4 linked regions of the Lonchura striata genome follow. The protein of the gene in region 4 interacts with the protein of the main gene of each other region in a pairwise test. Links are inferred from orthologs where the notes say so. Each region holds a gene or a part of one and is shown on either strand. Other genes may lie near its edges. The genes, in order: STX11, GAPDH, CEP70 and KAT5.

Region 1 (6,102 bases), on a different chromosome or scaffold from region 4:
CAAATCCATTATTAGGCAACAGATACCAAACAAAAATATTAATTCTGGTCTAAGATGATTGTTTACAAAACAGATAGTTACTAAAACATTATTAAATCTGAGACTCCAACTCTTAAACAAAAGGCTTCAGCTAAATTTAACACTTTTTTTACCTATGTATGACTTGTATTTTAGTGCTAGCACTCTATTTGCCTTGGAATGCAGTGTGTTCAATTCAGCAAGTCCATCTGAGTAGATTTCCATCAATACTACATCCTCTACAAGCCGTATGGGAAGTCACTGAAATGTGCTGACACACACTTAGCTATGAAGTAATTTTGTCTAAGAGCAGGTTATTTCCTAATTGTTCTCCACTTGTTTTTTGGGTCATGTCTATTGTGTGTCATGTGGTAAAAATCACATTCCATTCAGAGCTAGGATGAGCCACGTGGCTTCCTTTTACCTTCCAAGGGCAAGAAGAACTACTGACAGAAGTTATTTTTAACTGACTTGTTTTGAAATATCTGTTGTTCCTCAAACAATTGAAGTAAAAACTTCATCTTGTAAAGCTCTACTCAAGGCTGAAAAGATTACTGACTAGACTCTTGGTGAGCCACAAGATGTTATTAAGTAACAGCTGCCATTTACGAATGCTGCAAGAAGAAAAAACATACACTGCCTTCCTTCCCAGCAGCTGGCCATGAAATATGGATGCTGTGCTGAGACTGCTTCATCATTTCACCCTTTGTTCCCAGACTCTGATCACAGAATATCCTGAGCTGGAAGGAACACACAAGGATCACTGAGCCCAAATCTAAGTGAATGGCCCATATGGGGATAGAGTGTGGATGTACAAATGTTAAAGCTGAGATAAAAGTTATAGAAATGACTTTTTATCCTTAGGTTATTTCTACATAGTTAACAGGCTTCAGAACATTTGCACAGCAATGTTAGGCAATGTTTGTAGGACTCCCTTTTTTATGTATATGGGGCTAACAGAAAGGGGATGTATGCACATGCATATATTTTGATTTTTAGATGGATTTTCTTTCTTGTCTGAAATCCCATATTATACACAGTTGTCTGGGGAGGCAGTCTTATTGCAACAGGACAATTTGCATATTTCTTATGCATCATGGGAAAGCTTGTCACTGTGGTGATTAATACCAGTAAGTAGTGCAGTAACATGAAAAGATGAGCACTGAACATGCCCTTAGCTGACTGTACTTGCTGGATATCTGCGTTCAAAGTTGTAACCTCTGCAGTCATCACCTGGCCTGTATTTCCTGTGTGTGCGTTTGGGTGTGCACATCATGATGGACTGCAGAAGGAACTTCACATTTACAAGGACATATTTAGCTAGCCCAGAAATACAAATGTTTAAGTACGTGTTCTTGTTTGGATATATGTAGCATTTTAAAATAAGACTGACAACTAATCTATTAAGGTAGTTATACACTTGTGGTTGTTACTCCAGAATAGTTGCTGTTTTGATATTTTAGTGTGTTAGATGTCTCTTACTTGTGCAAGTAGTTGAATATATTTAATGTTCGTAGTCAGCTTAGCAAACTTTTTATTTAAGGCTGATTACCAGAACAATTTAGATGGGACCTTTGGACATTGTCTAATCCAGGCCTGCTCAAAATGCACACAGTTAGGTTTCTGAGGGCCATGTCAAGTAGAGTTTTAAATATCTTCAAGGATGCTGATTCCAAAACTTTTCTGGACACCTTTTTCATTGTTTCTAATTGTTTGGGGTTTTCTTCTTTTTTTCCTTTCCCCCCATCTTGTATCTGGCTGACTTTCTCTTGTTTCCACTTAGGTCTGTTGCATGCTGTGCTATTGCTGTACATTTCCATGGAGGGAAAATGCCTTGCATTAAGCAGTTAGTGATGGCAACAAGATCTCCCTTAAGCTTCCTGTTTCTCAGGCTGAACATTCCCAACTCTCTCAGCTTCTCTTCATATGTCAGGTGCTCCAGCACCTCTGACCACCTCTGTGGCCTCCCTGTGGCTCATCCCAGTGTGTCTGTGTGGAGTGACACTCCAGATGGCATCTCTCAAGTGTCAGACAGGAGGGATTGGGGGATTGGGTTCCTTTCCTTCCTCACTTTTGCTGCTCCAGCCTGGACACATGGCTCATGTTTCCCTACCAGCACACCGAGGTCCTGCAGAGCTGCTTTCCCATCAGAGAACCCAACTTTTACTGCTGCACCAGACACTGTATGAAGGGAGAGACTGATGCTCACTTTACAGACTGAGGTCTGAGGCTATCCCTAACAACCAGACATGTATCATGTGTTAATATACTGCTGTTCAAATTACAAGCAATACAATCAACGTTTGTGTAGATGCAAACTTTGCTGAGTAACAACAGCATCTGACAGGGGAGACCAACTTTTCTAAACCATGATTTGTTAAGTTGAAATGTTTCAAATTGCTTTTCCCCCTTGCACTCCCTGCTTATTTATTTCAGCTCTTTAGTGTCAGTTCTGTCCCTGACACCATCCAGGGAAAGCTTGAAAGTTATTGTCCTCTCTTGGGAAGATCTGGTTCCCATTTGTTTGAAATGAGAATTTGAAATAGGAAAAGACCTCTGTTAAAAGTTATTCACATCCTGTCCTTCCTAGATAAAGAAGAGCATGTTGAAAATGTGAAGATGAAGTAGGAAGCTGGCTAGGTGATGCACTTTGGAAACAAAAAGACAGGACTTGGGGAGAATTAAAGAAAGTGCCAAAAAGTGCCTGATCTTGCAGGACTCTGAAGTCAGGCTTAAATAGGTGGCATCCATTTGTTAGGACAAAAGTGTGAACACTTTAGCTGTGGAGACATATCCCAGACAGAGCTAAAAGATGCTAATGTTGACCACCTTAAACATAAGTTTTGGTACATAGATACAAATAATGTAGAACTAAGTACTGGGGAGCAGGGAAAATCCAGGGCGAAGACTGTAAGTGCAACTGCAACTTGATCCCTCTGTTCCACTTATAACTAGATCTACTGGATCTGCTGGATCACAGAGATTGTGTGTGATGCTGTCCATGTCACTGGAGAGGAGCTCTTCACAAGTGGCCTTGATCCATGGGTTCATTCCCTGATGTCCAGCTTGTTCCTTCGCGATCTTACTCAGCAAAGTGCTCGGGGCTTGCAGCAGTGACTGCAGTCAGAAGGGGCTGACTTCTGAAGATTCCAGGTACAAAGAATTGGGCTTGAAGTGTCTAAAGTGGGCATCATAAATTATCAAGAGTCTGACACTATTGTCCTTAGTGACTCTGGGCTGAAACCTAACTGTGGGGCTGTTAGATCTGCCTTTCCCCAAACAACTGGTGGGAATTTATGGGTATTTTTCTTTGTCCTGTTGCTGGGTACCACTGAAAAGATTCTGGCACCATCCTCCTGGGATCTGCCTTTGACATATTTATGTGTGCTCAGATCCTCTCTGTCTTCTCTGCTCTAGACTAAATAGGCTCATTTCCCACAGTTTATCCTTGTAAGAGAGATGTTCCACACACATAATTGTTGATGCCTGGTACTCTATGGTCAATGATAGCATCTGGAGACACTAAAGTTGCTTTTTCCCCCTTTTATCTATTATTTTTTTCCCCTATCATGATACTTTCCACATCATTTTTTTGAAACTTTTCTTTCCCAACTGTATTGGTAAATGCCATTTCTGTTTCTGAGAGGCTTCTTAGTATTCTTCCAGGAAAAGCAATCTTAGAATAAGGGAAGCCCTGTGACATTTTGGGTAGTCGATGTAATGAGGGATCAGGATCTAGAGGAGATTTCTCTAGTGAGCAGTAGTGGAAGGTGTTCAGTTATTAACATGTCTACAGATGGTGATAGCTGAAGATTTACTATCAGGAGTATAGTTTTCCCATCCAAGTAAAAGACTGGCATTCTGTGGGGAGTTTGGCACTGTCCTACTATTCTTTTTGACTTCAGCATTTGTAGTCTTTTTTCCTTCAGTTTTGTTTCTAAACTTGTATTTTCTAGAACATTGTTCTAGGAGAGTTTTGGATGTGATATCCATCACTATATAAAATACTGTGAACAAATTTAAAATCTGGTATTTTGGGTTACCTTTGATAACTGTTTGTTATCTGTGATTTAGTTATCACTATGATGTAGCTATTAGTTACAGATTTTCAACTCTTTTAACCAATATTTTAGTTACTTCAAACTCATTCCTCCTGTTCCTGTTTTACAGGCAGGATGAAAGATCGTTTGAGTGAGCTGCGTGAATTTGCCAGGTTGCATAACCAACAGTTTTCTGATAGTGATGATGATGAAAATTCACCCCAGGATATTCTCCTTTATGAGACGGACTATGCCTTGGAAATCCTTCATAAGGACATACAGACCATCCGGACAGAAAATGACCACCTAAAAGCGGATGTCAACCGTCTCAGAAAGCAAAACACCCGCTTCCTTACCTCCATGCGCCGTCTTAGTAGCATCAAACGAGATACTAATTGTATTGCCAGAGACATTAAGAGCCGTGGAGAAAGCATTCACAGGAAACTGCAGATAATGAGAGATTTCTGTGAAGATGCAATAACAAAATACGGAGCTATGTCTGTCATTGCTAGGGTGGCAAAGAACCACTACGTTGACCTCATGCACACATTTCAGGACGCTATGTTTGATTACAATGCAACAGAGATGAACCAGCGGGAGAACTGCAAGATTCGAATTCAGCGGCAGCTGGAGATCATGGGCAAAGATGTTTCTGGCCACCAGATTGAGGAGATGATTGAGCAAGGCAAATGGGATGTCTTCTCCGAGAATCTCTTGTCAGATGTTAAGGGAGCTCGCGCAGCCTTGAATGAGATAGAGACGCGGCACAAGGAGCTGGTGAAGTTAGAAGGTCGCATTAAAGAAGTTCATGAGCTCTTTCTGCAGGTGGCCCTCCTAGTGGAGGAACAGGCAGACACCTTTGATGTTATTGAGATAAATATGCAAAATGTTGAGGACTATGTAGGAGATGCTAAAGACCAAGTGAAAAGAGCTTTGGAATACAGGAGAAAACATCCCCTCAGAACAATACTCTGCTGCTGCATATCATGTTGCAGAAGGTGATGGTCCTACTGGAGCTATCACAGACTGACTCGAATGTCTTCAAAATCAGGTGTTCTTTCCAGAGACTGTTCTGTAATGACAAGCCCTAGAAATAGGGGCGATATTTTGCAGTTGGTTTTGTTCATTGTCTTTTTACTAAATGTGCTGAAGGCTGTTTCTATTTATGAACTTCTAGAAATGTTGATAAAACTATTTTTAATCTAATTTTAATTGAAAGGTTCTTTTACTGTAACTAGAGGTGCAATATCTTTACAATGATATTCATTTCATATAGGCAAGAAAGAAGAATGAATAACTTATCGTAGAGAAGATGAATACTTTCAAAAAGTAACTTTATTCCTATTTGTCGAAGTGAGGCTGCAGGTGCTGAAGCCTTGTTGCCTGGGGCAACACAGCACACCAAAAAAACAGTAGGTTTTAGTTTGGAGGCTGCTTGATACAAATTTGACAAAATACTGAGCAGGAGCAGGAACTTGATTTTCAGCTGTCAGTAATCTTAACAGAAGCAACAGCACCTGAAATGGATAATATGCACATTTTGCTCTATTTGTGTGCAAATGACTGCTTTTTTTTTCCATTTTGAGTACCCAACTCTCTCAAGGTGGCTAAAAGCACTGCAACACTGAGGCATCTCACTCACTTTTAACTTGAGCCACTCTCTGGACTCCCAGTTTCAAACCTGCTATGCTTTCATGTTCTGATGCATTTTTATGCCAATAAACACTTCAGCCAGAGGAGGAACATGGAGTGGCCTTCTGCAGAAACACATATAAGAGGACAACAGTTATGGGGTTGAGAAAGCATTTTAGGATCTCCTGTACTGGCACGTACATAGAGGCAGTTTTAGTGCAATGACTCGCCTATCAGTACACTTTTATTTTTTATAAGCATTGACCAAATATAGATTTTTTTTATATCTATTTTAAATAAGATGAAGGATTAATTTTTTTTTATATGCAATTTTACTTGTGTACAAAGATTTTTACTTTCACCAATTGTTGGGAAATCTCCACCTGGGAAAGCAAACAGAACTATTTCTTCA
Region 2 (8,113 bases), on a different chromosome or scaffold from region 4:
CCGGGGAGAAGTTGGAGGAGTGGGGGAGACAAGGGAACAGAACTGGCCTCTCACTGCAGGATGCAGAGCTAAGCGGTGGTGAACAAGGGCAGGGGCTCCAACAAAGAAGAGTCCTGCTTCCCGAGGCAGCAGGGGGGGGCCTGTGTGCTCAGCTTACTCCTTGGATGCCATGTGGACCATCAAGTCCACAACACGGTTGCTGTATCCATATTCATTATCGTACCTGGGGACAGAAAGTAAGTGCTGTCAGGGCTGACTCATTTCTCACACCCCTTCTTCCATTCCTCCTGCTCCACTGCCCCATGCCACACAACTGAATTCCCATCTACCCTCTGGAGAGGAGGAGGCAGCTACAGTAATTCCAGATAAGAAACAATCTCACTCCATGGACAGACTAGAGATTTGTGCATCCACCTGGATCACCAGTGGTAACCAACAGGACACCCAAGTCTGCAACCTGTCTGTGCCAACCCCCTCACGCCCAGGGCTGCACCTACCAGGAAACCAGCTTGACAAAATGGTCGTTCAGTGCAATGCCAGCACCCGCATCAAAGGTGGAGGAATGGCTATCACCATTGAAGTCACAGGAGACGACCTGAAACACGAGAAATTGTAATGCATATGGTTGCCCACAGTCTCTACTCCAAGTGCCCAAAGCTGCCTTTTACAAAAGTGAGGCCAAGAGCCTGTAACTGCAGGCTGAGAGTAGGCATTCCTCACCTGGTCCTCTGTGTATGCCAGGATGCCCTTCAGGGGCCCATCAGCAGCAGCCTTCACTACCCTCTTGATGTCATCGTACTTGGCCTGAGGAGACACAGATCCAAGATGATCAGATTCCAACTCACACAAAATGTCCATTGGGGACAGGGAAGGGAGAAGACACACATGGGAACACCCCAGCAGGTGCTCTTTTCACAAAGATTATCTTCAGGACAAGATGGATGCAGAGAGGGCAATTCCAGGTGCAATGCAGAGCTTAGAGGAAGAGGGGCACATCTGCAAGCTGTTAGGACCCCGTCCACAACACTTACTGGTTTTTCCAGACGGCAGGTCAGGTCCACAACAGAGACGTTAGGGGTTGGCACACGGAAAGCCATTCCAGTAAGTTTCCTGTGAGAGACACAAGTCACTAAGGAACAGCATCTGGCACTCCTCTGCCAGTCTAGGAATGTTCTGCCTCCTCCTGACACCTGAGAAGGGACAACACTCACCCATTGAGCTCAGGAATGACTTTTCCCACAGCCTTAGCAGCTCCAGTAGATGCTGGGATAATGTTCTGAGCAGCACCTCTGCCATCCCTCCAGAGTTTCCCAGAGGGCCCATCCACTGTCTTCTGTGTGGCTGTGATGGCATGGACAGTGGTCTGAGGAAAGAGCATAGGATTAAGAACACAGCCAATACTCTCCAGAAAGAGCATCCCAGGTGACACAGACGCTTTTCCCTCTCACGTGAGGGGATCTGTGGTAGGTCACCCTCTTCAGCACCAAGCTGCAGACCTACCATGAGACCCTCCACAATGCCGAAGTTGTCATGGATGACCTTGGCCAAGGGCGCCAGACAGTTAGTAGTGCAGGAAGCATTGCTGGGATAGAGAGATAAAGGCACGTCAGCCAGAGGCAACACTCCTACGGAGGTGAAGTGAGACCCCTGGCAGCTGGCGAGAGCTCCAGGCCAGGAAGCATGCTACTCTCCTTACCTGACAATTTTCAGAGATTTGTCATACTTCTCATGGTTGACACCCATCACGAACATGGGAGCATCAGCAGAGGGGGCAGAGATGATCACACGCTTGGCACCACCCTTCAGGTGAGCCTGGAGAGAGAAAGATAAGAGATTACATAACTCAGGATCCTTCCAAGCTTGCTTCTTCAGATCTCTTCTCCTTCACAGCCCTATCTTGAGCAGCTCTGTAAATGGTGGTGTGCCCGACAGGCAGAAAGCAGCACTATTCCCTTCTCTCCTACACCTCTGTGGCATACTCACCCCGGCCTTCTCCATGGTGGTGAAGACACCAGTAGACTCCACAACATATTCAGCACCAGCATCTGCCCACTTGATGTTGCTGGGGTCACGCCTAAGGAGGGACAAAATTTTACAAGCTGTTCCATGACACAGTTGCTTTCAATCTCCAGAGGAGCAATCAAGAAAGAGATACTTACTCCTGGAAGATGGTGATAGCATTCCCATTGATGACAAGTTTCCCATTCTCAGCCTTGACAGTGCCCCGGAAGTGGCCATGAGTAGAATCATACTTGAACATGTAAACCTAATAAATAGGAGGAGCAGAAGGTCAGGCACCCAGGCTGCCATCATCTTCTAACACCCGGGGAAGCTACGAGAACAGATCCACAGGAGCCCTACTCAGAAAGGCCCAGAGGGGGCACTGCAAAGCAACTCACCATGTAGTTCAGATCAATGAAGGGATCGTTGATGGCCACCACCTGGACTTTGCCAGAGAGGACGGCAGCCCGGGTGACCAGGCGGCCGATGCGGCCAAATCTGGAGAGAGAAAGACACGGGTGAGGAGGTGCAACAGAGAACCAGCCCAGCTGGGCATGGGAGGCAGTCCTTGGCAGCCTTCCCTTGGGATCATCAGCTGCTCCCTGCCCGGCAGGGCGGGAGGGAGCCCTGCAGCTCGTCCAAAGGCCAAGGCACCCCGGTTAAAGATTAAGAACGACCCCCGCCCCAGAAAGGTCAATCGCTAAATTTACAGAGAGCCCCGGGGATCCGGTTACTCCTCGGCCCGGCACGAGAAGGTCACATCCCCGGGGCCGCCATCGACACACGATCCACTGAGAAACCTTTCGGTGGGGGGCTGCAGGGATCCCCGGGAACGGGGAGGGAAACTGGGGCAGCCGAGCAACGGCAGCCCGTTCCGGAGTGAGTCACCCCGAACCCGAGGAGAAATGAGTCAGCAGCACCGCTCGCTGCCCCGGGGGGCGCCGGCCGAGCGGGGCCGGCGGGATCCAGCCTCTCCCCGAATCTTCCCCCCGCGCCCTTGAGGCGACCTTGCCGCTCCACCACAACCCCCCTCGAAATCCCCGCTGGTCCTGTCGGCCGCAGCACTTACCCATTGACTCCGACTTTCACCATCTTTACCGCTTCGGGATGTTCCTGTGGGCAGAAACCAGCAGCGGGGGCGTAAGAGCCGGCACCAGCCGCCCTCGGAGTCGCGCCCTCAGCCGGTGCCGTTAACGCCTCGCCCTCGCTGAGGGGCGAGCGGGCATCGGGGGCCGCGAGGCGAGCGGGGGCTCGCGCGCCGAGCTAGCCCCACCCCCCGCCGCGGGCGACTAACCCACCTGCCCCCCCCGCGACAACTACCCGCCCCCTCCTCCTCCTGCGGCGACCATCTCCCCCTCACACCCCTATCCCTCCTCGCCTCACCGCCCCCCTTCACGCCGCCCCCGCCATTTTGCGCCGCGCCGCCTTTGTGCCCTGGGCCCCGCCGCCACGCGGCCCCGCTCCGCCCGGGGGCTGCCGCACCCCCCGCCGGCGGGCGGGGCGCCCGTGTGGGGAGGGGGCTCCCACACGCCCGCCGCCACCGCTCTCTCCCCCCGCGCATCTCCGCCGCCCCGCCCGTTACCTGCTGCCTCCGAGCCGCCCGGCGCGCAGTGAGGAGGTGGCGCAGCGCCTCTCCGCCGCCCTTTATAGCCGCGTGAGGGTAGGGCGAGGGCCCGCCCCGCCGCGACGCCGTCGAATGGCAGCGCGGGGGCCGGACTGGGCTACGTGCGCCCGTGCCGCGGGTGCGGCTGCCGAAGACTCCCCCTGTTTCCCCCGCCCCGCCGCCCCCCGTTAACAAAGGCCCCGCTCTGGGAATGTAGGGTCCGTAGCGATCACCCTCCCGTCGGGCCACCCCAAGGGGGTTGGTGGTGCAGGTGGCGGTGGTGAAAGATGCACCGGTCCTTGGTCGGAGGTGTCCCCAGAGCGGGGATGGGTGGCTGCACCCCTGCCCGAGGAGGCAGAGAGGGCGATAGCCGGTCAGGGGCTGCTCCCGCCGGGCCCGCTGCTGCTCCGCAGGATGGTGTGCGCTGCTTTCACCTGGTAACAAAGGGCAGGTAGCCACCCGCCCCGGCTGCAGCCTGTGCCCAATTGGATGGAGTAGTATCCAGTATCCGAAGGGACCTACAGGGAAGCCGGAGAGGGACTCTTCGTCAGCAGCTTTAGTGTTGGGAAAAGGAGTAATGGGTACAAATTGAAAGGGATGAAATTTAGGATGGATATTACGAAGAAGTTCTTTACTGTGAGTGTGATGAGGTACTGTAACACGTTGCCCAGGGAGGCTGTAGATGCCCCAACCATGGCACTGTTCCAAGCCAGGCTGGGTAAGGCCTTCAGCAACCTGCTCTAGTGGGAGGCGTCCGTGCACGTGGCACGGGGGTTGGAACTGGATAATCTTTAAGGTCCCTTCCAACCCCTTAACACTCCATGATTCTATGGCTGCACGGGTAAAGGGACTGCAGGGATGCTCGGGTCATCCCGAGGGAGCGGCGGATCTCCAGGCTGTCCCCCACTCCCCCCGGCACGGGAGGTACAGTCTGGGAGTTCTCCCGCCTCCAGGCTGCGACCTTCCCCGGGTGGGCTTATCCAGGCGCGCTCTGGACGGGGCCCCTGGCCGGGCGCTGCCCCAGCAGGCCACGGGCGGCAGCGTGAGCACCATCTTAATGAGGCACTGCGGCACTCTGCCGCTGCCCGCGGGACGTGACGGCGGAAATCCTGCTCGTCTGCCGCCTCGGCCCGCCTTCCCTGCCTGCCTGCGAGGAGGAAGCGCTCCTGGCATGGCCGCTGCCCGGTTCCCCGCCCCCCAGGCTGGGCTCCCTCACCGCGCCCCGCCGCCTCCATCCCCCGGCTGCGCGCGGGGCAGGTGCTGCGGGACAACCCCGCCTGAGGTACAACGCCCAGAGCACGCACAAATCCCAAATCTCCCATCCCGGAGGAAGGTGTGGGAACAGTGGGGATGCAAATCTGGGCTATCAGAGCAGGTGGGGGTGGCGGGAGCTAGTGTGTCCCTCTGGCTACTCTGGTGAGCCGGGCTTTGAGGATAAGGGAGGGGGTGGGCAGGCTGGGGGAACCACGCAGGTACTGGGGTGGGGGACAAGAGAGGGGTCATGCAGCTCAAACGTAACCCTACTCTCCTTAAACCACTGCTATTCCCGGTGCTGCTGAGGGGCTGGTGGCTAAGTTTAGACCCAGCTGAGGTTACAACCTTTTCTTAAAGGCCAGGACATGGTGATGGCTCGCGGGGCACAGCAGCAGGGCTACGAGCTCGTGCGGGGTCGGTGGCGCCCCGGCCGCAGCCCACCGAGGCAGGCTGTCGGGGGAAGCTTCGGCGCAAACAGGAGGCCCCGGTGTTTGTTCTGGCGGGGGCAGAGTGCGGCCGGGGTGAGCAGCGCGGCCCTTGTGCCCCGTGCCCGGTCGATACCTCACCCGTGCCCGCCCCCCCGGCCGCACCGCGCCGCAGCCGCGCGTGCCGCACGCCCCACGCGGAATGGCGGCGGCGCCGGCCGGGCCCGGCTCGGCCCCGCGCGTGGGGCCGGGGGCGCCGGGCGGGCTCTGCACCGCCTCCCGGCCGGGGCAGCCACCGCGGACGCGGCAAATTAGTACAGCGTGTTTAATGAGCGAGTCCTCGGGCACGGGGAGCAAGGAGGGGGCTGCCGGCCGAGCGGGGGTTCAGCGGCCGGGGGGGCAGCCGCGGAGCCGGGCGGCTCCTGCTCGTACCGCCGCGCCGCTCCCTCGCTGCCGCAGCCTCCCATGTTCGGGGCGGGAGCTTCAGGGCTTCGCGCAGCGCTGCGCCGTGCTGGTTGCCGACCGTGCAGGTTCCCGAGGCTGGGTGCCCTCCGGCTGCGGAGAAGCGGGCCTGGTGAGCCGCCCAGCGGCGTCCCGCCCGCCTGCGCTCGCCCCGGCCGGGCCCCGGCACCGCGCCGGCAGCACGGGCGTCCCCGGGCCCCGCCTTGCCCGGCAGCCTGCCCCGCTACCCATCCCCTCGCTGACAGCTCTGCCCTCAAGTTCCTTCCTTACCGCTCCCTCGAGCCCACGTTCTTATCCCACTCACCTTGGAGGCCCTCCAAAGCTAACACCCCAAACCACTGAAGGTCCCGATTCGGTCCAGTTTCAGCCCAAAGCAACCCCTGGGCATGGCCTTCCAGGCCCAATCTCCGGGCAGTCCCCACTTGCGACTGGAGAGGTTCTTGCGCCAGAGGGATGGACGGGCAGCTCTAGCCCCAGATGGGAGGAAGGGGAGAGTGGAGGAGAGCAGCTGAGGACCAAAGCTGGATCCCTCTTTCGTGTCCTCTTCGGTCAGCGTGGACTTGGGCTCCAGGGGTAGCAATCGTGAAAGGAGCATCTGGGATAAATGGAGGAGAGTGGGGTGATGCCTGTGCTTCTGGTGATAAGCCTTGTTCCCCCTGGTACCCCACTGCCCATACCCTCCTGAGGACTCAGGCAGGACATTGAAGTGATGCCTGTTTACAGCACTGTGCCTGTGACATTGCATCCAGACACAGGGAAGGGTTTGACCAGCAGCTCCCACTGTCTGAAATGACTGTCATCCAAAACAGCAGGCAGACATCTGCTGTGAGCTCTGCCTGTGGGCAGATTGCCCTGCTCTTGTAAAACCGTACACACATCCTGCCCTGCCCCAGATTTGGAAGGTAACTCTTCAGTCCTTGCTCCTTTTGTGGATGCTGAGCATCTCTGTGTGCTCAGGCTGCTGTGTACAACATGGTCCTGACTCCTGATAAACACCTAACACCTGATAAAGATGAGGGAGAGTCAGGAACAGAGCAGGTGTGAGGAAGAGGTACTCCCCATCTGCTGGAAATCCTCTGTGTTAGCTGTGCTGACTGTAAATCCTCTGCACTGCTGGGAGACAAGTCGTGGGGGGTATGTTGGGTGCAGTGGAGGCACGGCATTGCTGCCCACAGAAGCAGCCTGCAGGAGCCGTTCTACATCTGTCTCTCACATGGATGCTGAGCTAAGGCTGAGGATGCCTTTGTGCAGCTCTTTGTGGTAGCGAGTTAACTGAAGCGGACACAGGCATCCTCAGCAAGGAGTGAAAGTGGTGAGTCATAGCAGGATCAGTCTTGTGATTTTAGTTCATGTCCTGACTATTTCCCTGTGGCTTTCCCAGGGTGATGTAAAGGCAAGGTGGTGGGGCTCAGGTTAGGGTTTGGGTAAGAGGGAGCTGGCTAGAATGGAAAGTCAAAAATATTATTGCTGGAATTGCAAAGGATAAAGATTTACTCAAGCTAAGAACTCCTTAGTTGGCATCCTGACAGGGCTCTTGGCCTTAAAGAGGGTCTTTAAGGGGGATAATACTGAGCTTAGGAGCAAAACTCCTGGCCTAACAGGATGCATCTTCCCTCTGAAATATCAGAACCAGAACCATGATGAAAAGCAGGACTGTAATATCTGATGGCTGCTGACACAGATTGGGCTTAGAAAGGGCCAGGCCCTTCGCTGTTAAAAGCTTTTACAGAGCACTAAAAAGCTTTTGTCTGTTTCCTGTCTCGAAATGCTGGTGCTCCTTAGGGACTGGATTATAAAGTCACCCTAGAGCTGAGGCTGCTGAAGGGGAGAGTGCAACAAGAATAGACAGCAGCTGTCTTGTATTTGGAATTTGGGACCACTTCTCATTTGAGGTTCAAACATAACCTCCCTCCTTCCTCCTCCCCTCCTGAAATTAACCTCAGCTCTGTCCTACTCCCTCCTACCTGTAGCCTCTGTCCTGGTAAGGACACAGTCTGAACGCTGGCAGAGAGCAGAACCAAGAAGAGGAAAAATGAGCAAGGCCATGACTGAAGCCCCAGCATCTTCTTCTTAGCCCAGGGCTGGTGGGAGGCAAGGCAGGACTCGCAGCATCCATGTAGGATGTGGTTCCTAGCCCCTCTCTGCCTTTATAGCTTTGATTCTGGCAGGGACTGGCCCCAGCTCCCTGCTGAACCACCCCCTGGAGCTCCTTAACCTTTCAGCCCTTTTGTCCAGGGTGATATATTTCAGGGTGAGCTCAGCAAGACCCCTTCCTCTAAAGAAAAAGGACACAAAGGTGTTTACTGAGTGTCTGGGAAGACAAATGTGAGTTGAGCTGCTGCTGGCCAGGACCTGGAGGTGTCTATCA
Region 3 (8,039 bases), on a different chromosome or scaffold from region 4:
CATTTCAGTTTTCTCAATAGTAATCTCAAGCTATAGGGATGTTTCAGGTATCAATTTGTTGCTTTGTGCCATGCAGGCACTGGGACAGAGCTGAAAACCTTTAGTTTTGGGAGATCTATCAACTGAGCACAGCTAATGCAGTAATTCTGCCTGTGAACCATGGCAAAAGGGGAAGGGGAAGGAAAAAAAAAGAAAGAAAGACAGACTTATAGTTCAAGCATCTGAATACCCCAAGCCTCCCAATTATCCTGGTCTCCTGATTGAGAAGCTGCTTAGCCTGACTGCCAGTTATTCTCTGGAAAAATCTAAATTTCCATGACCATCATAACCCTTTGTTGTTTCATACATGCTAGTGATACTTGGAGCACAGAGTATTTACCACTATAACATTTAAGAACAGTAAGGGCTAAAAAATTTTTGAACAGTAGAACCACAAGGCATTTAATGAGACCTACCTCAGCTTCTTTTTAATCTGACTAATTTGAGATTCATAATAATCAATTAGACATAGGTACCTGAAGAAAGGAAAAATGTTAATTTTGAATTTCAGATATTCTCACAAAACTCATAGTGACCAACCCAGATGAACAGCTCAGCTTATACAATGCACTGCACTTTGAAAGTGGCTGCTCCAAACAGTGCAGTTTCTCTCATACCAGAAAAACACGGTCACACTTTGCCAAAATGGAAAAGTAGACACATTGAATCTGTACTAGTTCAGAAGCAGCAAAATATTCAAGAGGAGAAAAAAGTTAAATCTGCCCACCAGTGTCCTCATCTTATGCCTGTGGTTACCCAGCAAGATTAACAGAGAGGCACAGTCAAAATAAAGTGTTTTGAGCACTCAGAGATTGTCTGGTTTGGAGAGACACATGAGAGACGACAGGGAACCAAATCTAGGGATCCTTCCTCTGATACAGTGAGAGCTCAAGGAAAAAGCTGAGCACATACAATCCCTCTTAAAAGTTTCCCAGATAAACATTGTTGGCCAGGCCTAGAAAGCCAGGTGATATCAGCACAATAAAGCAATGGCTAGGTTTAGGAATTGGCCAATGTCTGACTGTAGCAGAGCTATGGAAATCCTACTAGCAAGAGACGAAGCCTTGTGACACTTTGGGAACTCACCCAAAAGTACTTGGAAGCTCACAGGAAGCCTCCAGTCAGCAGTTGCAATCACTTCCCAAAACTGGAAAGGCTCTTTTTTTGGGGGGGGGGCGGGGCTAAGGATGCTGTTTGTTGAGGGGGTTTGTTCATTTTTAACTTCCTTAATTTACTTACTTAAATGTCAGCATCCCAGGATGAGATCATCCTAGCTGCCAGCCACTGCAGCTACAGAGCAGAGTGAATCATTCCCTTCCCTTTGCTGACATCTAGTGTGGGCAGTGGGTGGCAATTGTTAAATTTCTGCCATGGATTTATCTGGCTTACAGTTTCACAAAAGAAAAATATCACTGCACTGAGGTACCTTCGCAAGACTATATATTTCATCTTGTACTCCTAAAGTCTCCAGATTACTTCTTTTTGCCATATAAATATTGAGAAGCATTACATTAAAATCTGTTTCTTCATTTACTGTTGCAGAGATTCAGCAGTAGAAGAGAATCACTTACCGCTGATCCAGGAGAGACTTGGGAGCTCTTCTGCAAAACTGACAAAACATTTTGTTTTGAATGTCAACTCGCTGCTGCTCCTCCCTCCCAACTCTCCTCAGCTCCTTCTGCAAGCGGGCAATAATCTCTTCCTGTTCTTGCAGCTTTTCCTGCTGCTGTTGGTATTTTACCTGTGAACAGGCAACAGGAGTGTTACTGAATTGTAATGACCCACACACTGACTATACCATACAAGCCCAGGTACACACCTGGAACCAAGGAACGTGAGCATTTGGGTTTTAGCCATGCTGAAGAGACAGTCTAAGAGAGATACAGATACTTTTCAAAATTATTTCTAGAAAATTCTGCATAGTTTGAGAATACTTAGCTATCAACAGCGTACTAACCCTATGACCCAAGAGTCATGTTTATTTAGATCAATGTAAGTATTCTGAGATCTTCTGTAAGTCAAAAGTTTGAATCCTCAGGCAGCACTATCTGAATTACCCGTGAAGCCTGTTGTTCTTTTTGAAGTTCCTTGACTTGGTTCTGTTGCTGGCATGCCTTAGCTATTGTTTCATCTTCCAGCTGACAAATTTTGGCCTTAATGTTTTTCACCACATTTTCCAAATCATTAGCCCGTTGCTCTTGCCGAGATGCCCGACCTTGTTCCAGTCGTACCACATCTCTGAAAAAAGAAATGAATCCTTGCTTTTAAATTAAACTCATTTCACTATAGACAGTGCATAAAGCACACACCTGACATTATGTGATGACCTCTGATAACATCCTGTGGCAGCAGGTGTGGGAAATACACTGATATGAGAAGAAGCAGCAGATGAAACAAGGGGAGAGCTTGAAAGGAACTGGGACAATATTGCTGCATATTGAACAATAACCTCAGGAAAAAGGTCTTAGGCCTCTGGTGAGATAAGATCTCCACCAGGCTGGAGTTGCACACTGATAATACTTTTACTCTGCAGGTAAATTCCTTCCACTGTCTTACCTAAGACATCGATTTGCTTCCATAAGTCCCTGCATCACCTTTTGCTGTCGCTCAGTGTCTTCCACCAGCGTTTGTAACGCAAGTCTTATTTCTTGAGAAGACTGATGGTCTAGGACAATCATATCTGGAGACAGAGAACATAAGCAAAGTCACCATGAAAGGGTTTGAACAGCCAAAGAGGATTTGCCTGATTGCAGCCACTAGGAAGTGACAGCTTTGAAGATGCCTTATCAACTTAGGGTTACTATTTCCAAATAAAAAAATTACATTTCCTTACCTGATGTACCTCTGCAGCTTTGGGGGGCAGCAAGGCTCACAGGTTTCAACCCATGACGCATTAATACCCTGTTTAAGTTTTCCCACTCTGTTTTCTCCTGCTGCATTGGGAGAAAGGGAAAAAAGGCAGATACCTGAGTTCTTTGCATCGGCCGTGCAGCACAAGGTACCAAATGCCCACAAATTAAAGCAAACAACCCCAAACCCCCAGGGGGCCGCTACAGGAGGGTTTGTGAGAAACTCCACTACGATCTGCAAAGCACACTGGGGAAACGCGTACTTAACACCACACAGTATAACCCGTTTTCCTGACCCCTACTTGAAAGCAGAACACGGCGCAATGAGTTAAATCCGCCTCTTTAGGAAACGCGAACCACCACCCGCGGCTCCCTCCACCGCACCCGGGGCGCAGCGGCCCCGCCGCGCGCGGAGCCCTCAGGGAGGCGGCGGCGGCTCCGGGGGCTCGCGGACCGCTCCGTCGCGTCCTGTCCCGCTCCAACCCCCCAGCAGCGACGCCCGGGGCCAGCGGGGTACCTCGGCCATGGCCGCGGGGCAGAGCTGGGCCGCGGGGCCGCGGGGCAGAGCGGGGCAGAGCGGGGCGCTGCTCAGGCCGCGGCGCCGCTCGGGCGGGAGCGGAGCGGCGGCAGCGGCGCGCGGGGGCGGCGCCGCGCGGCCGCCGCCATTTTGCGGCGCGGGAGGCGAGGGGAGGAGAGCGGGCGGAGGTAGGAGCGCGGCGGCCGGGCGTGGGGCTAAGGAGAGCAAAAAATAAAGACTGGGGAAAAATGGGAAAAACTTGTTGCTGGCGGTAATGGCTGGGAGCACGTCTGGCGTCCGGTTTGCGCTTCCCGGTACGGCGATGAGCGCTGCCGGGATTAGGTGGATGGGCTGGGAGCTGTAATCCCAGGCTCGTTTTCAGAACCGTGTAAAGGAGGAAGCACTGCCTTGGGCTGCTGAGCTGGTCAGGGAATGGAGGCGGTGGGTGCAGCTGCTGTGTGTCCCTCCTGGAGCAGCGCACGGCTTTCCCTTGGGACGCGGTGGGATCGCCTCCAGCAACCACCCCTGGCCTGGGGTCAGCCTTCGGGCTCGGTGTGAAATAAATGTGTATTGCTTCATTACCATGATTTCAGGGAAAAAAAAAAGTGTGTTCTGGGATGCTTCCCAACCCTTTCAGCATTGATCCTACAATCCACGCCGCAGCGCCGGGGCCTGCCCGGGGCGATGGAGGCTCTGGTGTGTGAGACTCTCCGGGCATCTCCTGCGAGCCCCGGGCCGCCCCTTGTGCTGATCCCTGCCGGGGAACAGTCCCTGCCTGCTCCTTGAACAGAGGAGGGAAATATTCCCTGCCTGCTCCTTGCAGCAGGGGAGGGAAATATTCCCTGCCTGCTCCTTGCAGCACAGGAGGGAAATGTTCCCTGCCTGCTCCTTGAACAGAGGAGGGAAATGTTCCCTGCCTGCTCCTTGAACAGAGGAGGGAAATATTCCCTGCCTGCTCCTTGCAGCACAGGAGGGAAATGTTCCCTGCCTGCTCCTTGAACAGAGGAAGGAAATATTCCCTGCCTGCTCCTTGCAGCACAGGAGGGAAATGTTCCCTGCCTGCTCCTTGAACAGAGGAGGGAAATGTTCCCTGCCTGCTCCTTGAACAGAGGAAGGAAATATTCCCTGCCTGCTCCTTGCAGCACAGGAGGGAAATATTGCCTGCCTCTCCTTGGAGCACAGGAGGGAAATATTCCCTGCCTGCTCCTTGCAGCACAGGAGGGAAATGTTGCCTGCCTGCTCCTTGAACAGAGGAGGGAAATATTCCCTGCCTGCTCCTTGCAGCACAGGAGGGAAATATTCCCTGCCTGCTCCTTGCAGCAGGGGAGGGAAATATTCCCTGCCTGCTCCTTGCAGCACAGGAGGGAAATGTTGCCTGCCTGTTCCTTGAACAGAGGAAGGAAATATTCCCTGCCTGCTCCTTGCAGCACAGGAGGGAAATATTGCCTGCCTCTCCTTGCAGCACAGGAGGGAAATGTTGCCTGCCTCTCCTTGGAGCACAGGAGGGAAATATTCCCTGCCTGATTCCCACCGTGTGCCCGGTGATGCTGCCTTCGCAGGAACCAGAAATTTCAGGAGTGGCCAAAAACACCCCCTCGGCATTTGTTAGCACTGTTTGTTTGTTGATAGGTACAGACAAGATAATAATGAAATTAATGAGTGAAAAAAATACATTATAAACCGGTGGTTATAAAACACCATCGTGTAAGAAATTAGTTCTTTGTGGCTCACATAGATTTTGTGACTGATTTGCCAGGTCAAATTTAGTAATGTGCTTGTTGAAAGCTGCTACAGTTGTTTAGAAAAGGGAGGAGGTGGAATTACTGCCTGTGCTATTTCTAATCCCAGTTTCATTACGGTCTGGGACTGAGATGCGCAGCTCTGGATTAGGTTCCTGCTTTGGTCAAGTTGTTAATTTCTAAGCTTTGTCTCACAAATCAGGCAGCCCATTTTTCTGTCCGGTAACTGACAAAGTTATGAGCAGCTAGTGAAGGTAGGACACTCTACTAGCACTTACTTGGTTTTGTAAAATATAATATTTTTTTAAATACACTTGCCTTTCTGTCTTAGAGAAAGATGGTTGTATTTTAAGTGTTTTTATTTTATCATATTTATGACAGCACTGCACGCTAGTTAATGATGCTTTTAAAAATTGTCCTTTATCTTAGCTGGAGAAAATGGTGAAACTTTAGACTTCAGCACTTCTCTCCTACTATTCTGCTTTTCTATTTTTTCTTGCTGCTAATTGGATTAAAAGCTCTTTTGGCTTCTATGGCATCCGGTGAGGAGATTACTGTCTGTGACGATGAAGTAAGGTAAAGAATCAGAACTGTGATATGAGCAGATTTTGAAAGATATCCACAGTTCCAGTGGTCACTTATGACTGTATCTAAACTTTAAAAATCACTTGAATAAAAGGATATCTTGCCAGATCCCTTCCCCTGTGTCTGTCTGTGAAGCGTTGAATATCTGAATGATGTAGGTAGTGTTTATGAGATTAGAGTCAAATCTGTTAACACAGGAAATCGTTTTTAGACTATTTTTTCAAGTCTAAAAAGCTGAAACACTTTCTTTGACACAAATCAAATAATATGTTTTAATGCCTACCAAGAAATAACAGAACTATCCAGGAGTATCTTAAAACTAAATGTAATTTTGTTACCTATTGTCAGCTGAAATGGGAGTTTTAGAGGTTAGATGGGTAACTGTGTCTTTGTACTGTTTGTCAGAATGAGTCTGCTTAACTGTTTGTATTTTGTGATGTTTTGTCATATTTGAATGTCTGAAAAACATTAAAATATAAGCTGTTCTCTAAGTGTATTCTTTCAGTTGTCATTTTGTATTTCAAAAAATGCAAATACAAAAGCAGAAGAAGCAGTAAAGCTTTGAACTGCAGACATCAGGACTTCCAACAACAATTAATTTACTTTGTTGGTTTCTCCTTAGGTCTCGGTACAGCCACTTAGAGAAGATGACAGATTTGGTGGCTGTTTGGGAAGTAGCTTTAAGTGATGGTGTTCATAAGATTGAATTTGAACATGGGACCACTTCAGGAAAGCGTGTTGTCTATGTTGATGGAAAGGTGAAATTGCTATGTGCTCAAAATTCACTGTGATACAGATTATATAAGTACACTTCCATGCAACACACATCACAACAAACAAAAGACTAATAAATGCGAGTGAGGTTCATTCAGTTAATTACCTAATTTAATAACATGCATCATTCTTTTTTTTTCAGTTCCAATTAAGGTGTGAGTATTCATGAAGTGCTTTGCTGTCCTTGGACAGGGGCACTCTATGCATACAAAGCACCATGTATGCTTTCATTCCCCAACAGTAGTTCAGTACTGAGCTGTCTCCCGAGTTCCAGTTCAATTTTTTAATATTAAAACATGCACTCAGTTTTTTCAATTAATATCCACTGTCTTTTTTTTCTACAGGAAGAAATAAGAAGAGAATGGATGTTTAAATTAGTGGGTAAAGAAACATTCACTGTTGGAGCTACTAAAACTAAAGCTGCTATTAACATTGATGCAGTCAGTGGCTTTGCATATGAATACACTTTGGAGATCAATGGAAAGAGTCTCAAGCAGTATATAGAGAACAGGTTAAAAACAACCAATACTTGGATATTGAACTTGGGAGGTACAGACTATAGAATTGTTCTAGGTAAGTAAACATTGAGTGACTACATGTTGCTGCCTGTGAATAAACTTCTGTGCATTTAAAAACTGGTAATTAAGAAAGCACAGTTGAGTGGGTAGCTCTGATGCGGTATAAAATCCTGGGGGATGTGGAAATTTGGAATGAGATGCCAAAGATAGTCTGACAAGTAATGACTTGTTATACATGTGTGAGTCTACAGCAGTGTGGTCTAGATTTGGGAGACGTTACTGCTGCTGCATCCATAGAGCTGCCCTAGCAAGGCAGTTCTTCAGGTGAAGACTGTTAAAATTTTACCTTCATTGTGATCAAACCTCATGTGGGTCTAAGTTTGTTCAGCAGGTAACCAGGTTTTCCTTCCAAAAATCATCAGCCATGGTCAAGAAGTCTTCATCTGAAGTGCAACAATGTTATTTCACATTTTTGACATGTGGATAGATTGATGAACAGCCTTTTTTCTGTATCACTTCTTATGTACAAAATTAAACTAAAACCCTCCAGTGATGTTCTTTCACTTTCTTAATGGTAAATTACAACTACCAATACATTGTTTCTCTTCTGCCCCCTCTCTCCCAGTTACATTACAAGCAGGTGGGAGGAAGGGATGATCCCTTGAGGAATTTTTCTGTGGCATCTAGTGGGAAAACTTCCACTTGGGTATTGCTGTATGGTTAGAGCTGGAGACAAGAGATCTCAGACTATGATTTCTTCTTAAACCTCAGGACAGAATGAACTGCCCTAAGATGAAGGGAAGCAATGAAGAAAGACAGTTTTAGTGCCAGAAACAGATAAGTCTTCACAGAATTTTAATATCCCTATGCTTACTGGAAAGGCAAGCAGGGTTCAGCTCTCTGCTGATGTTGTGTCAAAGACAGTGTCAGTAAAGGGAATTCTATAGCAAAGTATTTTAAGGAGGATGTGCTGGGAGAAGAAAAAGAATATTCTGTTTCAAGTCCAAAAACAACTCTT
Region 4 (8,192 bases):
TTGGCCTCCCAGCCCTCGGCCGAGAAACGCACCTCGATGTCCTCTGCGGGCACGGGGACACAGTGGGGACACGCGGGGGACACGGACACGGGGACATGGGCATGGACATGGGGACAGAGACACGGGGACGCTGCAGGGACAGGGACACGGGGACAGGGATGGGGACATGGACACAGGAACATGGGCATGGACATGGACATGGGGATGGGGACATGCTGGGGACACCCCGGGGACACCACAGGGACACGGGGACACGGACATGGGGACAGGGACATGGGGGCAGAGACACAGGGATGGGGACAGGGACACGGACACGGGGACAGGGACAGGGACACGGGGACAGGGACAGGTGACAGCGACAGGAACAAAGCCGGGGGACACAGACACCGATATCGCCCTGTTTGGGACATCCCAGCTTTGGGGTGTCCCAGGTTTTGGGGTGTCCCAGGTTTTGGGGTGTCCGAGGTTTGGGGTGTCCCAGCTTTGGGGTGTCCCGGGTTTGGGGTGTCCCGTTTTTCGGCTGTCCCATTTTTGGGGTGCCCCATTTTTGGGGTGCCCCGTTTCGGGCTGTCCCCGTTTTCAGGGTGCCCCGTTTTCAGGGTGCCCCGTTTTTGGGGTGCCCCGTTTCGGGCTGTCCCCATCCCGGGGTGCCCCCTGACCTTTCTGGACCTTGTCACACAGCAGGAAGATCTCGTCCCCGCCCCGGCAGCTCCCGGAGTTGCGGTTCACGCGGCAGATCCGGAGCTCGGCCGTGCTGGGGGCACCTGGGGACAGCGCGGGGCCGCCGTGGGTCCCGGGCCACCCTCGGGTGTCCCCAGGTGTCCCTTGGGTGTCCCAGGGACGTCCCAGGGATGTCCCACATGGGTCTCAGGGATGTCCCCCAGGTGTCCCCAGTGTCCCCAGCTGTCCCCTGGTGTCCCTCAGCTGTCCCCAATGTCCCCCAGGTGTCCCCAATGTCCCCCCGGTGTCCCAGGTGTCACTCAGGTGTCCCCAGGTGTCCCAGGTGTCCCCAGCTGTCCCCGTGTCCCCGTGTCCCACTCACGGTTGTCGTAGATGGGCTGGGACAGGACGGGGGGGAGGGGCTGCAGCCCCCCCGGGCCCCTCACCCACACCTGGAAGCAGAGCCGGACCGCGGCCAGGTCGTACTCGCCCCCGCGCTGCTCCGCCGGCACTGCCCGGTGCAGACCAGTGAGAACCGGTATAAACCAGTACAGACCAGTATAAACCAGTACAGACCAGTACAGACCAGTGTAAACCAGTATAGACCAGTATATACCAGTACAAACCACTAACATACCCAGGTACCCCCAGTGACACCCCCAGGTCATACTCGCCCCTGCGCTGCTCCCCTGGCACTGCCCAGTACAGACCAGTACAGACCAGTGACGCCCCCAGCACTGTCCTCAGTGACCTCCCAGTAATACCCAATCACTCCCAGTTCCCTCCCAGTAACTCCCAGTCCCTCCCAGTTCCCTCCCAGTCCCTCCCAGTTCCCTCCCAGTTGCTCCCAGTTCCCTCCCAGTCCCTCCCAGTCACTCCCAGTTCCCTCCCAATCGCTCCCAGTTCCCTCCCAGTCCTTCCCAGTTCCCCCCCAGTTCCCTCCCAGTCCCTCCCAGTCCCTCCCAGTCACTCCCAGTTCCCTCCCAATCGCTCCCAGTTCCCTCCCAGTCCTTCCCAGTTCCCTCCCAGTTCCCCCCAGTTCCCTCCCAGTCCCTCCCAGTCCCTCCCAGTTCCCTCCCAGTTCCCCCCAGTTCCCTCCCAGTCCCTCCCAGTTCCCCCCCAGTTCCCTCCCAGTCCCTCCCAGTCCCTCCCAGTTCCCCCCCAGTTCCCTCCCAGTTCCCTCCCAGTTCCCCCCAGTTCCCTCCCAGTCCCTCCCAGTCTCTCCCAGTGCTCCCAGTACCGTTGAAGGGGTTGTTGTTGGTGCGGATCCGCTCGGCCACGGCCGCCTCCAGCTCCCGCTTCTTCACGCACTGGATCCCCAAATTCTGGAAACTGCCCCCAAAACTGGGCTGGCTCAGGGCTCCACCTGGATTTTGGGATCCCCCCGAACATTCCGGGGCAGGGATCCCGAATTTTGGGGGTTCCCAGGACTCTTGGCAGGGTCCCGTATTTTGGGCGTCGCCCCCCGTTTTTGGGTGGTCCCACCCGCCCCGGAGGGAGATCCCCAGTATTTTGGGAGATACCACCTGCTCTTCTGGGGGGGTTCCCAAATCTTGGGTGCTCCCACCGCCCCATGGGGGTGTCTCCCGGTTTTGGGGGTGTCCCTGATTTTGGGGGACATCCCAGTTTTGGGGTGTGCCCCCAGCCTGAGGGATGTCCACAGTTTTTGGGGGATGTCCCCGGTTTTTGGGGGGCTGACCCGGGTTTTGGGGCTGTCCCAGTTTTTGGGGGGGGGGATATCCCGTTTTTTTGGGGGATATCCCAGTTTTTGGGGGATGTCCTGGATTTTGGAGCTGTCCCCGGATTTTGGGGTTCTCCCCGGTTTTTGGGGATGTCCCAGTTTTTGGGGGAGGATATCCCGGATTTCAGAATTGTGCCGGATTTTGGGGTTGTCCCAGATTTCGGGGCTGTCCCAAATTTCAGGGTTGTCCCTGGTTTTAGGGATATCCCAGTTTTTGGCGGGGGATGTCCCAGTTTTTGGGTGATATCCCGATTTCGGGGTCCCGTCCTGGTCTGGGTTCCTGTCCCGGATTTCGGGGCTGTCCCGATTTTGGGGTCCCATCCCGATTTCGGGGCTGTCCCGGTTTTTGGGGGGGACATCCGGGTTGGGGTCCCACCTGTGCACGCTGCGCTCGGGGCTCAGCTCGGCCTCGTAGAAGCCGTCCCGGCAGTCCTTGCCCACCAGCTCGTGGGGGTGCGGGCGGTGCGGGGGGTCCTTGGTCACCAGCGACACCCGCACGCGCCCCGGGCCCCGGTAGTTGTTCACCTGCGGGACCGGTTTGGACTGGTCAGCACTGGTTTGGACTGGTCAGCACTGGTCTGAGCTGGGGGGCTCACGGGGATGCTGCAGTGGGGCTGGGGGAGAGGGTGCTGAGCCCCCCCGGCCAGGGATGGGAGAGCCGGGGAGATCAGGGGGGGTCCCAGGCTGTTACTGGTCCATATTGGGATGTACTGGGACACTCACGCGGATGGTGGGGCGCACTGGGGGGGCTCAGGGGGGCACTGGGTGGTTACTGGTCATTACTGGTTTGTACTGGGACACTCACACGGATGGTGGGGTGCCTCCGGGTGCTCTCGCTGCTGTGCTCCCTGGGGCTGGGGGCACTGGGGGGGCTCTGGGGGGCTCTGGGGGGGCACTGAGGGGTCCCAGGCTGTTACTGGTCCATACTGGTTTGTACTGGGACACTCACGCGGATGGTGGGGTGCGTCCGGGTGCTCTCGCTGCTGTGCTCCCCGGGGCTGGGGGCACTGGGGGGGCTCTGGGGGGCTCTGGGGGGGCACTGAGGGGTCCCAGGCTGTTACTGGTCCATACTGGTTTGTACTGGGACACTCACGCGGATGGTGGGGTGCGTCCGGGTGCTCTCGCTGCTGTGCTCCCTGGGGCTGGGGGCACTGGGGGGGCACTGGGGGGGCACTGAGGGGTCCCAGGCTGTTACTGGTCCATACTGGTTTGTACTGGGACACTCACGCGGATGGTGGGGTGCGTCCGGGTGCTCTCGCTGCTGTGCTCCCCGGGGATGCTCCCGGCCGAGCGCCCCTCGCACTTGTAGCGGAACCTCATCCCGCGCTGCCGCGGCTGCTCCAGGATCTCCACGAACGGCGCCGCCCCCCCCGCCTCTGGGGGGGCACGGGGGTCCCGGGGGGTCCCGTCAGCCCCTCCGCACCCCCCCCCCACCCCCGGGACCCCCGGGGGACCCCCCCCCGCCCACCCGGCCCCACTCACCTGGAGCGCCCCAGTCCTGCAGCAGGAAGGGCAGGAGGTCTGGGGGGGTCACTGGGGGGCAAAGGGGAGGGGGTCGATTTAATGGGGGGGGTCGCATTAATGGGGGGGGTCGCATTAATGGGGGGGTCACATTAATGGGGGGATTCACATTAATGGGGGGTCGCATTAATGGGGGGGTCGCATTAGTGGGGGGGTCGCATTAATGGGGGGGTCACATTAATGGGGGGTCACATTAATGAAGGGGGTCGCATTAATGGGGGGGTGGCATTAATGGGGGGGTCGCATTAATGGGGGGGTCGCATTAATGGGGGGGGTCGCATTAATGGGGGGGTGGCATTAATGGGGGGGTGGCATTAATGGGGGGGGTCGCATTAATGGGGGGGTCACCTAAAGGAGGGGTCACATAAGGGGGTGTCACATTAAGGGGGGTTCGCATTAACGGGAGGGGTCACTTTAACGGGGGCGGGGGTCTTCCCCCAAAACCCCCTCCCCCTTTAAACCCGCCCCCCCCCCCTTAAAGGGCCCGCACCCTCCGCTCACCCCGCGACGTCACTCGGGGCGGAACGGTCCCAAAACCGCCGCGGGGGGGGTCAGCACTCACCGTCCTCCATGGCGGGGGTCGGGGGGTCCCGGGGGTCCCGGGGGGGTCCCGGGGGGGTCCCGGGGGCAGCGGGAAGGGCGGGGGGGGGGCCCCGCTCGCGCCGCCGCTGGCGGAAGCGCCGCGCCCCACGTGACGCGGCTGCCGGGAAAGCCCCGCCCCCTCCCGCGAGCGCTCCCGCCAACCGGGGGGCGGGGCGCAGGCGCGGAGGGGGCGGGGCCGCGTCCCGGAAGCGCGTCGGGCCGGCCGGAAGCGAAGGCCGGGAGGAGAATGGCGGAGGTGGGGAGCGGGCGGGGGGGGGCAGCGCGGAGGGGGCTCGGGGAGCCGCCCGAGGGGCTCCGGGAGCCTCCGGACGGGTTCGGGGACCCCCCGAACCCCCCGCGGGGGTTTTGGGGCCCCGCCGGCCCTGACGAGGCCCCGCCCCCGCAGGGGGAGGTGTCCGAGGGCTGCCGCCTGCCCGTGCTGCGCCGGAACCAGGACAACGAGGATGAGTGGCGTGAGCGGGGCGGGGCTCAGCGCGGGGGCAGCCAATCAGGGCGCGGGGGCGGGGCTAAGGGAAAGGGCGGGAAGCGGCGGGGGCGGGGCCTCCTGAGGGGGCGGGGCCTGGCCCGGGGGGGTCGGGGGTCCTGGGGGGTTTGGGGTTCATGAGGGGGTCCTGGGGGGTTTGGGGTTCATGAGGGGGTCCCGGGGGAATTTGGGATCCCTGAGGGGGTCACTGGGTGGGTTGGGGTCCCTGAGGGGATCCCTGGGTGGGTTTGGGGGTCCCTGGGTGGGTTTGGGGGTCCCTGGGTGGGTTTAGGGTCCCTGAGGGGGTCCCTGGGGGGTTTGGGGGTCCCAGGAGGGTTTGGCAGTCCTAAGTGGGTTTGGGGGTCCCTGGGTGGGTCTGGGGGTCCCTGAAGGGATCCCTGGGTGGGTTTGGAGTGCCTGGGTGGATGTTGGGGGTCCCAGGGGGGTTTGGGGGTCCCAGGGGGGTTTGGGGGTCCCAGGAGGGGCTGTGTGGTGACCCCCACCCCCCCGGTTTCAGCGCTGGCCGAGATCCTGAGCGTGAAGGACATCAGCGGCAGGAAACTCTTCTACGTGCACTACATCGACTGTGAGCGCGACACGGACACGGGACACGGGGACAGGGACACGGGGGGACACGGGGACGGGGACACAGACACGGGACAGGGACACAGACACGGGGACACGGGGGGACACGGGGACAGGGACACAGGGACATGGGGGACACTGGGATGGACACTGGGGTGGCACTGGGATGGACACTGGGATGGGCACTGGGGTGGTCACTGGGGTGGCATTGGGGTGGACACTGGGATGGACACTGGGGTGGCATTCTGGTGGACACTGGGGTGGCATTGGGGTGGACGCTGGGCTGGCAATGGGCTGGCACTGGCCTGGCACTGCCACCCCCCGTGCCAGCCCGCCATGTCCCCGCTGTCCCCAGTTAACAAGCGCCTGGACGAGTGGGTGACCCACGACCGGCTGGACCTCAAGAGGGTCCAGGTGCCCCGCAAGGAGGCCAAGACGCCCACCAAGAACGGCCTGCCCGGCTCCCGGCCCGGCTCCCCCGACAGGGACCCGGTGAGCCCCGGGACACGGGGACACGGGGGGACCTGGGGGGACACCTGGAGGGGACACAGAGACCTGGTGATGGATACGGGGACATGGGGGGACACTGGGGACACTTGGTGACACGGGGAGGGGATGGGGGGAAACGGGGGATGAGGAACAGCGGGAGGTCGGGTGACATTGAGGGGACACCGGACGGACAGAGGGGTCTGGGGACAGGGGACACGGAAGGGACAGGGCTGAGGAGGGGGTGGGACAGGGACAGAGTTTGGGGACACGGGCGAGGGACACCAAGGGACAGGGCAAGGACAGGGGCCAGCCTCGGGGACCGAGCACTGAGGGGACACACGGGGGGGACACGGGACAGGGGACACGTGGAGCCGCTGGGGACAGACCTGGAGTCCCCAAACCCCCTGGTGACGGGGACACTCGCCCCCCACAGCAGGGACGTCCCCTGGGGGGTGGTGACATCCCCAGGACACACCCAGGGGCCACCCCGGACCCTTGGGGACATCCCCAGCCCCTTTAGGGGACCCTGGGGACATTTCTGACCCCTTTAAGGGACCTTGGGGACACCCTCGACCCCTTGGGGACACCTGCAGCTCCTGTAGGGGACCTTGGGGACATCCCCAGGCACTCTCTGGGGACCTTGGGGACATCTCTGACCCCTTGGGGCCACCCCTGACCCCTCTAAGGGGACCCTGGGGCCACCCCTGACCCCTTGGGGACACCCCTGACCCCTTGGGGACACCCTTGACCCCTCTAAGGGGACCCTGGGGACACCCCTGACCCCTTGGGGACACCCCTGACCCCTTGGGGACACCCTTGACCCCTCTAAGGGGACCCTGGGGACACCCCTGACCCCTTGGGGACACCCCTGACCCCTCTAAGGGGACCTTGGGGCCACCCCCGACCCCTGGATGCCACCCTGTCCCCCTTCAGGAGCCCTTGGGGCCACCAAGGGCCGTCCCCGGGAGGGGTCCCGGGGTGGCGGGAGGGTCCCCGAGCCGCGGTGGCTCCGTCCCCTGCGCGTGCCCCTAAACCCTCCTCTTCCTCCCGGCGCAGAGGAAGAGCCTGGAGCTGGCGCTGCCGGTGGCCCCCGCCAGCGGGAAGAGTTTGCCGGGGCCACCGGGGCCAGCGGCGGGGCCACCGGGGCCAGCGGGGCCAGCGGGGCCAGCGGGGCCAGCGGGGCCGGGGCCCATCACGCTCCGCTTGCACCTGCCCAAGGAGAGCGAGGCCGAGCCCCCCCAGCGCCCCACGGTAACCCCCGATGGCCCCGGCGGCCCCAGGGTCCCCAAATGTCCCCAAACGGCCCCAGGGTCCCCAAATGTCACCAGGGTCACCAAATGTCACCAGGGTCACCAAATGTCACCAGGGTCCCCAAATGTCCCCAAACGGCCCCAGGGTCCCCAAATGTCACCAGGGTCCCCAAATGTCACCCAGGTCCCCGAACGTCCCCAGGATCCCCAATGGCCCCAAATTTCACCAAATGTCCTCAATGGCCCCAAATGTCCCCAAATATCCCAAATGTCCCCAAATGTCCCCAGGGTCCCCAGCTGGCACCAAAAGTGGCCCCGGAGGTGGTCCCTGGCAGGTCCCGGTTTTGTCACCCTGTCCCTGTCCCCGGGGTGTCCCCTGAGCCTCCCCTTCCTCGGGCCTACTGGGATGGACTGGGGGGGACTGGGATGGACTGGGATGTTCTGGGGGGGGACTGGGATGAACTGGGGGGGACTGGGATGGACTGGGGGGGACAGGGATGAACTGGGAGGGACTGGGATGGACTGGGGGGGTCTGGGGGGACTGGGAGGGTCCGGTTTGAACTGGTTTGAACTGGTCCCAGAAGCGCAAGGTCGAGGTGGTGTCACCGGCCACGCCCGTCCCCGCCCCCACCGAGACCTCGCAGGCGTCCGTGTTCCCCCAGGTGAGCCCAGCAACACCAGTATGGACCAGTATGGCCCAGTATAGACCAGTAACACCAGTATGGACCAGTATGGACCAGTAACACCAGTATGGACTAGTATGGCCCAGTATCAACACCAGTATGGCCCAGTATATGACACCAGTGTGGGCCAGTAACACCAGTATGGGCCAGTAACAATACCAGTAACACCAGTCTGGGTGGGTTTGGGGTGTCTGCGT

What was found.
Region 1: the proteins of KAT5 (region 4) and STX11 interact in binary tests that used the Homo sapiens proteins (3 or more experiments, as listed by UniProt). The two-hybrid records come from large-scale screens. The link is inferred for Lonchura striata from reciprocal best matches to the Homo sapiens genes KAT5 and STX11.
Region 2: the proteins of KAT5 (region 4) and GAPDH interact in binary tests that used the Homo sapiens proteins (3 or more experiments, as listed by UniProt). The link is inferred for Lonchura striata from reciprocal best matches to the Homo sapiens genes KAT5 and GAPDH.
Region 3: the proteins of KAT5 (region 4) and CEP70 interact in binary tests that used the Homo sapiens proteins (3 or more experiments, as listed by UniProt). The link is inferred for Lonchura striata from reciprocal best matches to the Homo sapiens genes KAT5 and CEP70.

What each region holds. Positions count from the first base shown.
Region 1 is NC_134605.1:50,042,113-50,048,214, reverse strand, and holds STX11 (syntaxin-11), read left to right. Parts: upstream 1-4,193; coding exon 4,194-5,060; downstream 5,061-6,102. UniProt on the Homo sapiens protein: SNARE that acts to regulate protein transport between late endosomes and the trans-Golgi network.
Region 2 is NC_134604.1:29,413,644-29,421,756, reverse strand, and holds the start of GAPDH (glyceraldehyde-3-phosphate dehydrogenase), read right to left. Parts: upstream 3,674-8,113; 5' UTR 3,584-3,673; intron 3,115-3,583; 5' UTR 3,094-3,114; coding exon 3,071-3,093; intron 2,500-3,070; coding exon 2,400-2,499; intron 2,267-2,399; coding exon 2,160-2,266; intron 2,075-2,159; coding exon 1,984-2,074; intron 1,813-1,983; coding exon 1,697-1,812; intron 1,583-1,696; coding exon 1,501-1,582; intron 1,364-1,500; coding exon 1,212-1,363; intron 1,111-1,211; coding exon 1,032-1,110; intron 805-1,031; coding exon 721-804; intron 596-720; coding exon 498-595; intron 224-497; coding exon 154-223; 3' UTR 1-153. Other genes in the region: C-type natriuretic peptide 2-like, read right to left, coding at 6,068-6,340, 7,710-7,808. UniProt on the Homo sapiens protein: Has both glyceraldehyde-3-phosphate dehydrogenase and nitrosylase activities, thereby playing a role in glycolysis and nuclear functions, respectively.
Region 3 is NC_134610.1:9,371,344-9,379,382, forward strand, and holds the start of CEP70 (centrosomal protein of 70 kDa), read right to left. Parts: upstream 3,493-8,039; 5' UTR 3,415-3,492; coding exon 3,406-3,414; intron 2,973-3,405; coding exon 2,873-2,972; intron 2,720-2,872; coding exon 2,596-2,719; intron 2,278-2,595; coding exon 2,097-2,277; intron 1,781-2,096; coding exon 1,611-1,780; coding exon of another isoform or gene 1,607-1,610; exon of another isoform or gene 1,218-1,606; intron 516-1,217; coding exon 456-515; intron 1-455. Other genes in the region: FAIM (fas apoptotic inhibitory molecule 1), read left to right, coding at 5,677-5,720, 6,352-6,487, 6,848-7,076.
Region 4 is NC_134638.1:282,026-290,217, forward strand, and holds the start of KAT5 (histone acetyltransferase KAT5), read left to right. Parts: upstream 1-4,709; 5' UTR 4,710-4,751; coding exon 4,752-4,760; intron 4,761-4,910; coding exon 4,911-4,977; intron 4,978-5,505; coding exon 5,506-5,574; intron 5,575-5,928; coding exon 5,929-6,065; intron 6,066-7,893; coding exon 7,894-7,974; intron 7,975-8,192. UniProt on the Homo sapiens protein: Catalytic subunit of the NuA4 histone acetyltransferase complex, a multiprotein complex involved in transcriptional activation of select genes principally by acetylation of nucleosomal histones H2A and H4.